2 linked regions of the Mytilus edulis genome follow. The protein of the gene in region 1 interacts with the protein of each later gene in a pairwise test. Links are inferred from orthologs where the notes say so. Each region holds a gene or a part of one and is shown in the gene's direction. Other genes may lie near its edges. The genes, in order: glutaredoxin-3-like and anamorsin homolog.

Region 1 (7,400 bases):
ATATTACAAAAGTAACATTCAAAACCAAGGAGTAAACAAAGACTCACAAAACAAAAAGACATTTACATCAACAGTTTTAAATAATAAATAAGAAACAACACGAACTCCACTAAAAACCGGGAGTGAAATCAGGTGCTCAATTACATCACAGAAAGAGTGAATTTGAGAAATTTGTTTTTTGATTTTTATACGACCGCAAATTTTGAAAAAATTTTCGTCGTATATTGCTATCACGTTGGCGTCGGCGTCGTCGTCGTCGTCGTCGTCGTCGTCGTCGTCGTCGTCGTCGTCCGGCGTCCGAATACTTTTAGTTTTCGCACTCTAACTTTAGTAAAAGTGAATGGAAATCTATGAAATTTTAACACAAGGTTTATGACCACAAAAGGAAGGTTGGTATTGATTTTGGGAGTTTTGGTCCCAACACTTTAGGAATTAGGGGCCAAAAAGGGCCCAAATAAGCATTTTCTTGGTTTTCGCACTATAACTTTAGTTTAAGTTAATAGAAATCTATGAAATTTTGACACAAGGTTTATGACCACAAAAGAATGGTTGGGATTGATTTTGGGAGTTTTGGTCTCAACAGTTTAGGAATTAGGGGCCAAAAAAGGGCCCAAATAAGCATTATTCTTGGTTTTCGCACAATAACATTAGTTTAAGTAAATAGAAATCAATGAAATTTAAACACAATGTTAATGACTACAAAAGGAAGGTTGGTATTGATTTTGGGAGTTTAAGTCCCAACAGTTTAGGAATTAGGGGCCAAAAAGGGACCCAAATAAGCATTTTTCTTGGTTTTCGCACCATAACGTTAGTATAAGTAAATAGAAATCTATGAAATTTAAACACAAGGTTTATGACCATAAAAGAAAGGTTGGGTTTGATTTTGGGAGTTTTGGTCCCAATATAATAAGGGGCCCAAAGGGTCCAAAATTAAACTTTTGTTTGATTTCATCAAAATTGAATAATTGGGGTTCTTTGATATGCTGAATCTAACTGTCATGACTGTGTATGTAGATTCTTAACTTTTGGTCCCGTTTTCAAATTGGTCTACATTAAGGTCCAAAGGGTCCAAAATTAAACTTAGTTTGATTTTGACAAAAAATGAATCAGTTAGGTTCTTTGATATGCTGAATCTAAAAATGTACTTAGATTCTTGATTATTGGCCCAGTTTTCAAGTTGGTCCAAATCGGGGTCCAAAATTAAACTTTGTTTGATTTCATCAAAAATTGAATAAATGGGGTTCTTTGATATACCAAATCTAACTGTGTATGTAGATTCTTCATTTTTGGTCCTGTTTTCAAATTGGTCTACACTTAAGTCCAAAGGGTCCAAAATTAAACTTAGTCTGATTTTAACAAAAATTGAAATCTTGAAGTTCTTTGATATGCTGAATTCAAAAATGTACTTAGATTTTTATACGACCGCAAAATTTGAAAAATTTTTCGTCGTATATTGCTATCACGTTGGCGTCGGCGTCGTCGTCGTCGTCGTCGTCGTCGTCGTCGTCGTCGTCGTCGTCGTCGTCCGGCGTCCGAATACTTTTAGTTTTCGCACTCTAACTTTAGTAAAAGTGAATGGAAATCTATGAAATTTTAACACAAGGTTTATGACCACAAAAGGAAGGTTGGTATTGATTTTGGGAGTTTTGGTCCCAACATTTTAGGAATTAGGGGCCAAAAAGGGCCCAAATAAGCATTTTCTTGGTTTTCGCACTATAACTTTAGTTTAAGTGAATAGAAATCTATGAAATTTTGACACAAGGTTTATGACCACAAAAGGAAGGTTGGGATTGATTTTGGGGGTTTTGGTTCCAACAGTTTAGGAATTAAGGGCCAAAAAAGGGCCCAAATAAGCATTATCCTTGGTTTTCGCACAATAACTTTAGTATAAGTAAATAGAAATCAATGAAATTTTAGCACAAGGTTTATGACCACAAAAGGAAGGTTGGGATTGATTTTTGGAGTTGAGGTCACAACAGTTTATGAATTAGGGGCCAAAAAGGGGCCCTATTAAGCATTATTTTTGGTTTTTGCACCATAACTTTAGTATAAGTAAATAGAAATCTATGAAATTTAAACACAAGGTTTATGACCATAAAAGGAAGGTTGGGTTTGATTTTGGGAGTTTTGGTCCCAACAGTTTAGGAATAAGGGGCCCAAAGGGTCCAAAATTGAACTTTGTGTGATTTCATCAAAAATTGAATAATTGGGGTTCTTTGATATACCGTATCTAACTATGTATGTAGATTCTTAATTTTTGGTCCCGTTTTCAAATTGGTTTACATTAAGGTCCAAAGGGTCCAAAATTAAACTTAGTTTGATTTTAACAAAAATTGAATCCTTTGGGTTCTTTGATATGCTGAATTTAAAAATGTACTTAGATATTTAATTATTGGCCTAGTTTTCAAGTTGGTCCAAATGGGGGTCCAAAATTAAACTTTGTTTGATTTCTTCAAAAATTGAATAAATGGGTTCTTTGATATGCCAAATCTAACTGTGTATGTTGATTCTTAATTTTTGGTCCAGTTTTCAAATTGGTCTACATTAAGGTCCAAAGGGTCCAAATTAAACTAAGTTTGATTTTAACAAAAATTAAATTCTTGGGCTTATTTGATATGCTTTATCTAAATATGTACTTTGATTTTTGATTATGGGCCCAGTTTTCAAGTTGGTCCAAATCAGGATTCCATATCAAGTATTGTGCAATAGCAAGAAATTTTCAATTGCACAGTATTGCACAATAGCAAGAAATATCTAATTGCACAATATTGTGCAATAGCAATTAATTTTCAATTGGAGTTATCTTTCTTTGTATAGAATAGTAGTTGATAATATATGTTGGAAATTTGCCAGACATGACTATGATGTCATTTTCTATTTTTATTTGCCAATAACTTTATGTAAATAACTTCATTGGAAATTTGCCAATATAAAATGTTGCTGATGAAGCTTTTTTTCCTTATCTTATCTAAAATGTTTTAGATAATGTATGTTGGAAATTTGCCAGACATGACTATGATGTCATTTTCTATTTTTATTTGCCAATAACTTTATGTAAATAACTTCATTGGAAATTTGCCATTATAAAATGTTGCTGATGAAGTTTTTTTTATTGTTTTATACAATAAACAATGTATATTCACTTTTACTACCAACCAATCTTTACCATTCAGTGATAACAAGCACTTTATTTTACATTTTAATATTTTATGATGTATTTAAAAGAGTAGTTATTGTTGCAAACTCCATTAGAAATTTGAATTGATATCAGTTTTGGAAAAAGGGAAACGGGGATGTGAAAAAAGGGGGGGGGGTTAAATTTTTCTCATTTCAGATTTCATAAATAAAAAGAAAATTTCTTCAAACATTTTTTTGAGAGGATTAATATTCAACAGCATAGTCAATTGCTCAAAGGCAAAAAAAAACTTTTAAGTTCATTAGACCACATTCATTCTGTGTCAGAAACCTATGCTGTGTCAACTATTTAATTTTAGATTTAAATAAGAAGAAATCTTTAATTGATTTGTAAAATCTTGACATTTGTTTTGTGTAAAAAAAACCATGTAATGTCAAAAATTTGATCACAATCCAAATTCAGAGCTGTATCACGCTTGAATGTTTTGTCCATACTTGCCCCAACTGGTCAGGGTTCGACCTCTGCGGTCGTATAAAGCTGCGCCCTGCGGAGCACCTGGTTACTTTTTGATTTATAATTTTTAGTAAACATGTAAATCATTTTATTGTCTATACAGTAAACTATGTCTAATGATATACTTGTGTCATTTTAATTTATTGTATCATCTATGCATGTCTTGTATCTATCAAACTCATGCCCTTTATCATGATTAAATATAGGTCATATGGTGCAGGAGTAAAAAAAAAACGCGTTACTGTTTTTTTAAGATTTACGAATTTAAATTGTTACAGTTTATAAGATTAATCAAAATTGTCATATGATAAATTCGTACTGGAATGGAAGTCATTTATTTGGCGTTCTTTACTTGACTTTTTTTTTACAGTAACGTTTGGTAATTTGCTAAATTTAAATTGTTACTTCCCTTTATTTGTCCTTGTTCCCAGTAATAAATATTCCTACACTGCTAACTCAAACCTGTATCATTATATCAGGGTACCAGATCATTATTACAGAGGAAAATGGCAAAAGTTCGGGAAACATCTTCAGTCAAAGAATTTAATGAATTACTCGATAATTCAGACAGGTACACTTATAAACTATGATCTGACACAGTATATTAATGAAACTTAAGAATTACATAATGAAAGAAATATTAAAATGCACTGCTGTTCAATGGTAGTCCAAATAATTATGACGTCTGGCAAAGCTATTTTAATTTTTTAAATCTGCATTAAGGTTCATCATAACCTTTTGGCTAAAATGGCCGTATTTACACCCCAAATTTTACTCTGAGTACAGACTAACATATACACCTGCAACAGTTTTAAGGGATGGCAGGAACTAGATATATAAATTTTAAATGCATTTTATGTTTCAGAAAATTATAAACTTTTCTAAATTTTGCTATCCATTTTTTTTCGTTCCTGCAGAAGGTGCAAAAATTAACTAAGTAGGGAAAACGATTGAGAAGCTCCCCTCATATAATCAATGTTGTGAGTAGTATTGATTTAAATGGACAATAGATGGACACTAGACACCTGTAAACAATAGGTGATTTAACAGGTTTAAACTGTGTAACTGAGTGGACCGTATCAAATGAAACTCTGGTGTTTGTTTATTTTGCTATCTTCTGCAGACTGGAAAAAAATGAACATCAAAATCCAGGTAAGTTTTTAATTATCTGAAACGTAGACTTCATATAAGGCCACACCAATTTGATCCCTTGTTCGACGGACCCGCCCGCACCTATTTTTTTCAAAACAGAATTTTTTTATTTTTTTTATATTCCCGCTTCCCGCATCCGGAATTGTAATCATGTCCATTTCCCGCACCGTTTTTTTGTGTAAATATTATAAAAAGATATCAACATTTGTTAAATCACAGTCTAACTTGTATATAACGATTTTAAACATAAAAGCACCCCAACACACTGTGTAAATATCTGTGAGAATATTTGTTTCAGAATGAAACCTGGAGTGCTCCGATAAAAAGTTATAACAGCGGGTATTTCCGTGAGGAACAAAAAATTGGTTTCTTTCCCCCTTACTTATATTCCCTATCAAAACATGTTCGTGGTTAGAATAAAGTACAAAGAACTTCTGAAGGATTTTCCTTCAACTGCAATTATATTGTATGCTGGCGAAACAAAACTATCCATAGCCGCTGCATGTTTATGCACCTGTCCTGATTGATTCAGGAGCATGTTCAGCAGTTATCGTTTGTTGATGTTGTTCATTGGTATTTTCCCGTTTGGATATATAAATTAGATCGTTGGTTTTCCTGTTCGAATTGTGTACGCTAATAATTTTGGAGTCCTTTAAAGCTTGCTGTTTGGTCTGTATCAAAGCCCTGTGTAAAAGGCTGCACTTTGACCTGTGTTTGTTATTATCAGGTTGAGAAAAACCCTCCCTAGCTCAGACAAGGGGTCATTCAATCTAATTAAAAACCGATCTCTCATCGCTCCTGTTTCTGATATGTCGCGTGGGAGATCTAACGAAACCCGCTTTGAGGTCACATGTGAGTGACCTCGTAGGTGTGTCTTTTTCGACCAATGAAATTGAGTCTTCCACGATCTTGGAAGTTTAACGTAAGGCAAAGGGATGTAACTCATTTTATTTACGACGAAATCGTCAGTCAAAATAATTCATAAACTTGTTTGATTGGCTTATTAATAGGTCGTCAACTCATTTGCATATCTTTATAAATTCATAACTTTTAGTTCACTCACATGTGACCTCAAAGCCGGTTTCGTTAGATCTCCCACGCGACATATCAGAAACAGGAGCATTGAGAGATCGGTTTTTAATTAGATTGGGGGTCATTTTACTGATGTAGAAAAGAAAATAGAAATACCAAGGATTTGTATAGTTCTTCTATACAAAACCTTTGAACACTTAGAATTTTGTACTCAAAAAGAGGAGAGTTACATCATATTTTAAATAAATTTTTCTAAAAGAGGGGTCCACTTATTTTGAATAATATTAAACTGTTGAAGGAAATGTGTTAACATGGTTAAAGTCCAGGAATATTACTAAATTCTTGGACATGTTTTGACCATTTAATACCAGATAGATATATAGTTCTATGAGAAAATATGAGCCCTTTTGTACAAACAAATATATTATTACTTATATTGATCCCTCAAAAAACATGTAAAAGGGATATTTATAACATTAAGGGGTTGCCCCCAAACTGATTATGATTTGGATGGAGAATTGTCTCATTGTCAGTCACACATACATAGACCAGATTTAATTATTTCTTGGTGAACAGGGAAAAAATACTTCAGAAATCAAAGAAATGTCAAAGTACAAGTGATAAATCAAGTTTTAATATTGTCAAAACCTATTATTTTATGTTTACAAAAAAAAAATATAATCGCTCGCCTTCACTTTTCAAGCTTCGCCTCAAAAATTTGCAAATTAAATATTTTTTTATTAAAATTTTCAAATCGCTCGCTCGCCCCAAATTTTGGAGTCCAAAAATCCGTAGAACAAGAAATTAAATTGGTGTGGCCTAACTTTTATATATCTAGTTCCTGCCATGCCTTAAAACTTTCCTGGATGTACCAGTTTGTCTGTACTCGTAGTAATTTTTGAGGTGTAAACACGGCCATATTTTTCAATTCCGTATGATGAACCTTAAATGGCGAAAATTGAAACCTATATAAATTCATATGTTCATGTTAAGTGTTTCAGCTGCGCACACCTAAATAAGTATTTTTTGATAAGTTTAATATATTATACATAAATATATTATTATGAGAAATCATATACATGTACGACAATCCAAGATGAGGGGTCAGTAGAAGCCTTTGGCTTATGTAACGACCCGAAGATAAATTTAAGGTATGAAGGTATATAATGAATGATTGATACATTGATTATATTGATAGGGAGGTCAGGCTCAGCCAAAATATGAAGTATAGACCCAGCTAACACATAATATTTTCATAATATTATTGACTAGTTATATATATGTTTTTCAAAAATATTTACCAAAAAATATTTTAAAGACATTTTTTTTACATCAGAAATTATGCATTAATGATATTTTAACAATAATATTTCGTCCCAATGTTTGATTGCTAATATAAACACATTTTTTGTAAATATTTTTTTATAATGAATAATAAATATTTTTTGCTGATGTTTTTAAAACGTTAAATAGACAGTTTTATAAATGAGAACAATTGTATGTCGAGGAGATATTTCTTTGCAATATTCAATCAATATCTGATGGACATTTTTATATAACATTTTAT
Region 2 (7,368 bases), on another chromosome or scaffold:
GATAAGTGCACAGAAATAAATGCAAGTAGCAGAGTTTATAATTTGAAAACTGCATATCTATTAGCGTTATTTAGCTAATTTACAGGTTGCAAACTTGTAGTAATGTGACAAGTATAAAATAAAACTTGACTCAGTGAAGACAATTTAATATTAAAATGTACCTTTTCACTTCAGGCTGTTGGTCTGTTCTGGACTTTGTCCTTTTCTTCCAACCACTCAGTGTACATAAGTTTGATGGCAAGGAATCATTTAGCTTTCCTATAAATATATGCACAGACATATATACATGATATAAGAGAACTGGTTTATCTGTAAAGAGGTGGATGAGACAGTTAACCACTAAAGATGTCAGTATACATCTACAATAGGTAAACATCTTGAAAACATTCCTTTAAAGCAGTGGTGAATATCGTCATAGTAGAAGTTCTCTTATATAGAGAGCATTGATTTCTTTTTTAAATCTGACATGCTGATGGTACATTGTAGTTCTGTGATAGATTCATAACCTACAAACATGTAGTTGCTGGAAACAATCATTTATAATGTTTATGAGGTGAGGGGAATTAAGAGCATATTTTATGGACCTGTCTTTGTTGAAGATTGTATGATGTCCTCATATTAAAATAATTTGGATTATTATAATTCATTTGCTAGCTTAAGAATTGTTAGGTTGTATGAACATGCTGTATTGTCGTTGAGCCTCATTCGTAACCTCACAGTCACATGCCTGAAGTGTCTTGGTAAGTGCATGTGTAGGTTTTTTGCTCACAAGTGCAGTGTTGATACATACAATGACAATCTGCACTATTCTGCAGTCCTGGAATAATAATGCACTAGAATAAATACTCACCTGTTTTTTGTTTTTCTGTTTGATCTTTACTCTCATCTGAAAATATACAGAATACATGCGTTTTATAAATGCAACATGAAGCACATTTAATTTTATGGTAGTCGATTTTTATTTGAATACATATAAAAAATGATACCTATATAAACATTTCTGATAGTTGGGGTGTTAAGGTCAATCTTAGTTGCAAATATTAAATTACCACCAAAAAGAGGTATATTCCCAAGACTAGTTAGTAGGTGATATATATTTTATGATTGTGGTAATCTACAGTTGTATTATAATACATAAAACTATGTTACAATTTTACTGAATGCTGATGGTGCAAAATTGTCTGGCATTGAACTATGAGCTGTTGAACGTATGTATCATGTGTGTATTGTGTATCATTTCCTTTACTATCAATGTCACTTTTCTTGGAAATACATCACTTACATCATGTACATATTCCAGTGATTGGACACCTATTAAGGCATTATATATGTACAAATGTAATCAAATTTTAACCCTTTCAACGCTACACAAAAAAATAGAAAAATGGCTGCTGCTGCTGCATTTTTTTTTTAGTTCATTCATTAGAACAGTATTTTCCTTTTCAGACTGCTGTATCTTTTTTATTATATGAGATACAGAGAAAGTTATTGCATGAAAAATTCTCAGGAGAGCATGAACTGTAATGTTAGGCAATTATTTTACTGAAATTTTTATCAGGTTACCTGCGTTTTCAGGTAATTAACAGGTAAAAGGTGTAATTTATTACATTTGTGTTGAATTTTGAATAAAAACTACTTTTAGTCTTCATTTATTTTGTTGTTTTATCTGCCATATTGTAAAGAAGACACCAGTTGCCCGATTCCGTAGCGTATTGTACCATACATAACGTTTTATGTAATCGTGGCACAAATAAATAGCTCCATCCTAAAAAAATTCAGTCAACCTCCGTTTTCCCCCCTTTTTCTACGTCTCGTAATGATCGATCAAATCATATTTCCCACACGAATTTAATGTAATAAACACTTTGAGATAACAAGAAACCTTTTAACTAATCCTCGTTGTTAGTTTCGCCAAGGAAATGCTGAAATTTTTCCATATTTACAGCTTCGTTTCCGATTTCCGCCATTTGCATTTGTCAAAATATTTGTTTTTATTTACCTTCTATTTTCCTTCTACTGCATGATTTTACTATAAAAATTGTCGGGATTTCAAGCGCAAATGAGACCTTGCATATCCTAGATTCAAACGAGGAAAAATTAGAGAGAACCCGAATGAAAACCGAATGGTTCAAGAGTCCTTATGAAAAATCCTTTTTCATCGCGGCATATGCCGCGAATAGCAGTGGCGAACGGCGTACGTCATCGCGGCATATGCCGTGTATAGCGTTGAAAGGGTTAAGACTTATACATTTTGTTTTTTGAAAAAGAAGATACAACAATGTACTTTTACTACCAGTCTTCAGTGTACCCATACCCGACATGGTAGCGTGGGGTAATGAGAAAAAATGTTTTATATATGGGGTTTATATATTAATTAATATCATTGATGAACATGCTGAAAGTTTCTCACTGCTCACAGCACACTTATATATCTTATATTACCTGAGGCCTCAGGTAGGCCTTTCTCATTTACAGGAGTGTGACACATGGATCTTGTAAGACGTCTAGCCTCTTGCTTAGGTGTACCCTCAAGTTTTTCAATCTCTTGTTCAGCATCCTCAATGACATCCACTCCATTACATATGTCTTCATCATCTTTCTCATTTTCATGATCAACATCTAAAATAAAAATAATTTACCATATAAATATACATGTAGTCATGTAAAAATTATATTTGTTATGTTTGTCATGTTTGTATGGTAAAATAATATGTTGTGGGTATATTTGTTAATGTTTGTAGGCCCCATGGGGACCTAATTTGAAAATTAAAATAAAAAATCCTATCTTATAATCAATTTATGATAAGGCCAAAAATAACAGGTTTCATATAACAAGCTGTAAAATATTAGGGTCAGTAGGTCAGTAGGAAAGCAAATTTTTCATCTTTCAAAAATGCATGATATCACTGGCTGTGTGGACATGGTGGATTCCACTGTTAGTCTTAAAATCATTCAAGGGACGAACGTTGGAATGATTGGTTGAAAATAATACTGAAAAGCGCATGGGACCAACAGACTTACAAGTATTTATTTCTCATAATATAAAAATAAGATGATTAATCTAAATGAATATGAATATAATTTAAATATAAGACATTATTTGATCACATACATGTATCCCAAACTCTTGTCTCACTGTCAAAATGTCAGACAAAAAATCAATCAGTCAGACAGAACTTTTTAAGTTGAATGTTCAAATTTCTATTTCTGTCAAAAAAACCCTAAAACAGTTTGGCACAGATTGAGATTTGGTATGAATAATAAGAATATCTTCATCAGAGACCAAATGACATTGAATAGAAGAGGGACATAATGGGGGTACAGTACGGTAAGAGATTTACTACAGTAAACTTTAGTCTTTAAAATTAAAAATGTCTTCAATTTCCAAATGGCAAGCTAGAGCAACCGATGTTTGACAATATGTTTCTTATGTCTGGGACTGTCAAAATATGGCCTATGCCTATGTAGGAAGTTAAGTTCTTGTAACTTTTTACTAATTGATTTTACACATAATTTGATATTAAGTCAAAGAATGTAATGGCACACAAAATTATAATTTATATCATTTCACATTTGTCACTATTTGGACATATATTGTGTATGCCGATAATGGGTGCTTATTTATTTACCAAACCAACGATCAACATCTTCATCGTCACATGCAGTTGAGAAATCAACAAACTGAGGCGCGTTAAATTCCCAACTACAATCCATATTTTTAGGATCCTCCATTCCTATTTTGATTTTCCTTCAACATTCAATCTACCCGCACTTTCAATTTTGACCAATCAAAATCATACTAAAAAAAAAAGGTGTTGCAGTAAGAAAAAGTCTCTGTGATTGGTCAAATAATTTCCAATCTAGACTGGTATTATCTTTACAAAATACAGGACTATGAGCTAAACAGAAAAATTACAAGAAACCAGTCTAGTTAATTAAAACTTCAAATGAAACAATTATGAATTCAAAGAAAATAAATTACGAAATAATGTTTCTAATAAAGGACTTGAAAAATATATTTCCCTTTTCGAATTTGAATAGATTGCAATTATGTTTCGGACTTCCTGTTCAAGGTGAAGGTCGAAGGTCATTAAGAAGAAAGTAGTAACAAACTGAAAGTAGGTTATTTGTTCTGAATTAATAGTGTTTTTCATTACCCTATGGACAAAGTGGTACATGTATTAAAGAGGTTTAAATTATCGATTTTTTTACCCCTTTATTTTCTATAAATGGCAATCAAGTAAGTTATACTGTTGTTGTTCAGTTCGAATAAGACACCAACGTTTTGACAGTCATACACCTTATCGCTATTCCCGGCTGACCCGTCCGCTTGAACTTTTGACGTCAACAACAATCACTTTTCCATTGTGGCGTCAGACATTTTGTTTTATGACGTCAAAATTTTACGGGAACCTGTGTGATTTCCAGCAATGGCGGACAAATAGCGATAAGGTGTATTATACAACCTTTTATTTGGGAAAAGCTCTTGAAGAAAATTCTAGAATGTGACCTTAATGCTTTTTGTCTATCATTCATTACAAGACATCACTGCCGCAATTTTTAAATTTTGTTGTTACAAGAAAAAATGTCTTGCACCCCAAACAGGGTTCGACAATAACGCTAGCCCAATACTAGTAACTTTTGTGTCGGGCTAGTAAATGTCCGTGGCGCGGTAGCCCAAGGGGCTTGTAAATTTATTTGTGATTGAACATCAATGTGTTGTACTTTCGGCAAAGTACAGTCCAAACCCTGGTCATATCTAACAACTTCGTCCAATATTGTCTACACTGGTTTCGCAATCTCTTTATTTACATACAGATACTGATACTGGAGGGTAAAATTACTACCGTAAACCAGTCGCTATATATAGTAAACTCGGCCTATGATTACTCGGCCCATAAAGTAAGAATGCCCCACGTTTCAAGATAACCCGTTTTGAAATAAACATTAATTATACTGCATATACATTTTGGTTTTATTATATTTTATTATTAATCACATCAGAGATCTTGATAAATCGTGTGCATAGTTTAGCCTTATCTATTACATAGTCGTCGCGTAAATAGTTTAAATTGGAAATGTCCTTTCGTTCTTAAAATAGAGCGTTGAAAGGTTCCCTGTAAGGCTGTTGAAATTTTCCTTTACTCCTTTTCAAAGGTACACGTGGTGATGAAAACTTTTCGATCTTCTCTGTCTTTATCGAATTAGTGTTTGTCATGTCGTCATAATTCTTTTAGTATTGCTCGGGATTTATCATTACAGTTGCAATGGACTGAAACGAAAGTAAATTTCCGGTAATAATATTTATGTGATGAGCTTCTTTTTGAGAGCTGAGGGGTGATGATGATAACAAGACTAAGCCATTGGTATCAGAAAGCGTCCATGGCACGTACCGGGATGTATGCATGTCATAATGTATTAACGAGAACAGGGTTAAAACTCGTCATGAGACAAATCAGTTGGAACATGAAGACTCGCATCAGAAACCAAAAGTAAAATAGGGGACAAGTCAACTTATTTATGTAAATAAAATTAAACAAAAACATTGGTTTTTATACGCCCGTCAAAATTTTGACGGGACGTATTATGGTGTCCGGTGTCTATCCGTCTGTCTGTCCGTCTGTCCGGCGTAAACATGTCACACCGTAACTTGAGAACGACTTATCTAAATTTCATGAAACTTAATATAGTTGTTTTTTATGATGGTCAAATGATCTGTATACTTTTTGGTGAAAATATGATTTAAAATTTTTGAGTTACGGCACTTTGTAACTAAAACATGTCGCACCTTAAACGATTTTTGATTATTGCTTAAAACTTTACACACTTCTTAGTTATATTAATCTTAATATCTGTATACTTTTTGGTGATGATTCAAAATTTCATTTTTGAGTTGTTGAGTATTTTGTAAAAAAGGGGGAGGGGGTTTATACATGTCGTGCCGTATCTCAAAAACGATGTATGATTATTGCTTAAAACTTTACACACTTCTTTGTTATATTAATCTAAAGATCTGTATACTTTTTGGTGATGACTCAAAATTTTATTATTGAGTTCTTGAGTATTTTGTAAAAAAGGGGAGGTTTTTTTTTACATGTCGCGCCGTATCTCAAAAACAATTTATGATTATTGCTTGAAACTGTACACACTTCTTTTTTATATTAATCTAAAGATCTGTATACTTTTTGGTTTGATTCAAAATTTTATTTTAGTGATAATTGTAAAAAAAAAAACAGGGTGGGGGGGGGGGGGGGGGGGGGGGTTCACATGTCCCGCCATGTCTTAAAAACAATAAATGGTTATTGCTTAAAACTTTATCAGAAACTATTTATGATTATTGCATAAAACTTCCACACAAGATGTCGGGCGTATCATGCGCTCATGGCGCAGCTGTTTATTTTTAATTTGATTATTTTAGTTGATGAGTTTTTTGTAAGCAAAAAAAATGTCCCATGAAATTGTATCTTCTTGAACTATATTTCACAATTCATCTGTGAAATTTCGTTCAGGGACAGAATATCACATTTTTAAACTATTTTATAAAATAGTGTCTCCCTTAGTGAAAAATTGTCCCAAGTGCTTGGACATAATTTCATGGATGTTTTATAAAAATATGTCACAAGGGACAATTAATCTTTAATCTAGGAACTATTTTTTTTAAAGTAGGTCTGGAATATACAAATGTTAATGTTTGACTAAAAATGTTAACACAATAAATATTTAAGATATATCATCAATTCATTAACAGTAAAAATGCACAGAACACATCAATAATAGTTCTAGTCTAAGATTACTCCAAACTCCATCAGCAAGCTTGGGCCATGGGACTGCAGAGCTAGTTCCAACAGAAAGTGGATATTGGGAAAACATAAATTCATAAATTCTCCTAAATTCTGTAGTTTTCATTTGTTTCGATGCACAGTACATACGTACATGTACATTTAAGTTTGAACATTTGGGCAATTAAAGGAGTAGGTCCGGTAAGAACCGATTTTGGCCTCAAATTTCAGGTTCATCTGACGAAAGATTTTCACAACTTTTTGAACATTTAAGTGTCTATTTCATTTGAATTAACTAGTTTATGTGAAAATTTTTAACTGATTTAGTCATTAAAAACGATCCGATTCAAGCTCAAATATGAAAAATCTACCAAATATGCCAAAAAATATCACTTTTCAGATGTTTTTTTGTCAAAAATGAAAGTGGCCGCATCCGTGTTCCATGCTCAACCTTTATATATGTTATGTATTATCATAAAATACAACTTACATTTCAATAATATTAAGGATGAACACGAATGGGGCCACTTTCGTTTTACACGAAAACTTCTAAAATTCAACTAAAAAGCTAGAATTGTGAAGATTTCAG

What was found.
Region 2: the proteins of glutaredoxin-3-like (region 1) and anamorsin homolog interact in binary tests that used the Homo sapiens proteins (3 or more experiments, as listed by UniProt). The link is inferred for Mytilus edulis from reciprocal best matches to the Homo sapiens genes GLRX3 and CIAPIN1.

The regions. Positions count from the first base shown.
Region 1 is NC_092347.1:91,572,409-91,579,808, forward strand, and holds the start of glutaredoxin-3-like, read left to right. Parts: upstream 1-4,062; 5' UTR 4,063-4,155; coding exon 4,156-4,220; intron 4,221-7,400. UniProt on the Homo sapiens protein: Together with BOLA2, acts as a cytosolic iron-sulfur (Fe-S) cluster assembly factor that facilitates [2Fe-2S] cluster insertion into a subset of cytosolic proteins.
Region 2 is NC_092348.1:975,114-982,481, reverse strand, and holds the start of anamorsin homolog, read left to right. Parts: upstream 1-4,089; 5' UTR 4,090-4,118; exon of another isoform or gene 4,119-4,240; intron 4,241-7,368. Other genes in the region: targeting protein for Xklp2 homolog, read right to left, coding at 162-258, 851-886, 2,443-2,619, 3,630-3,732. UniProt on the Homo sapiens protein: Component of the cytosolic iron-sulfur (Fe-S) protein assembly (CIA) machinery required for the maturation of extramitochondrial Fe-S proteins.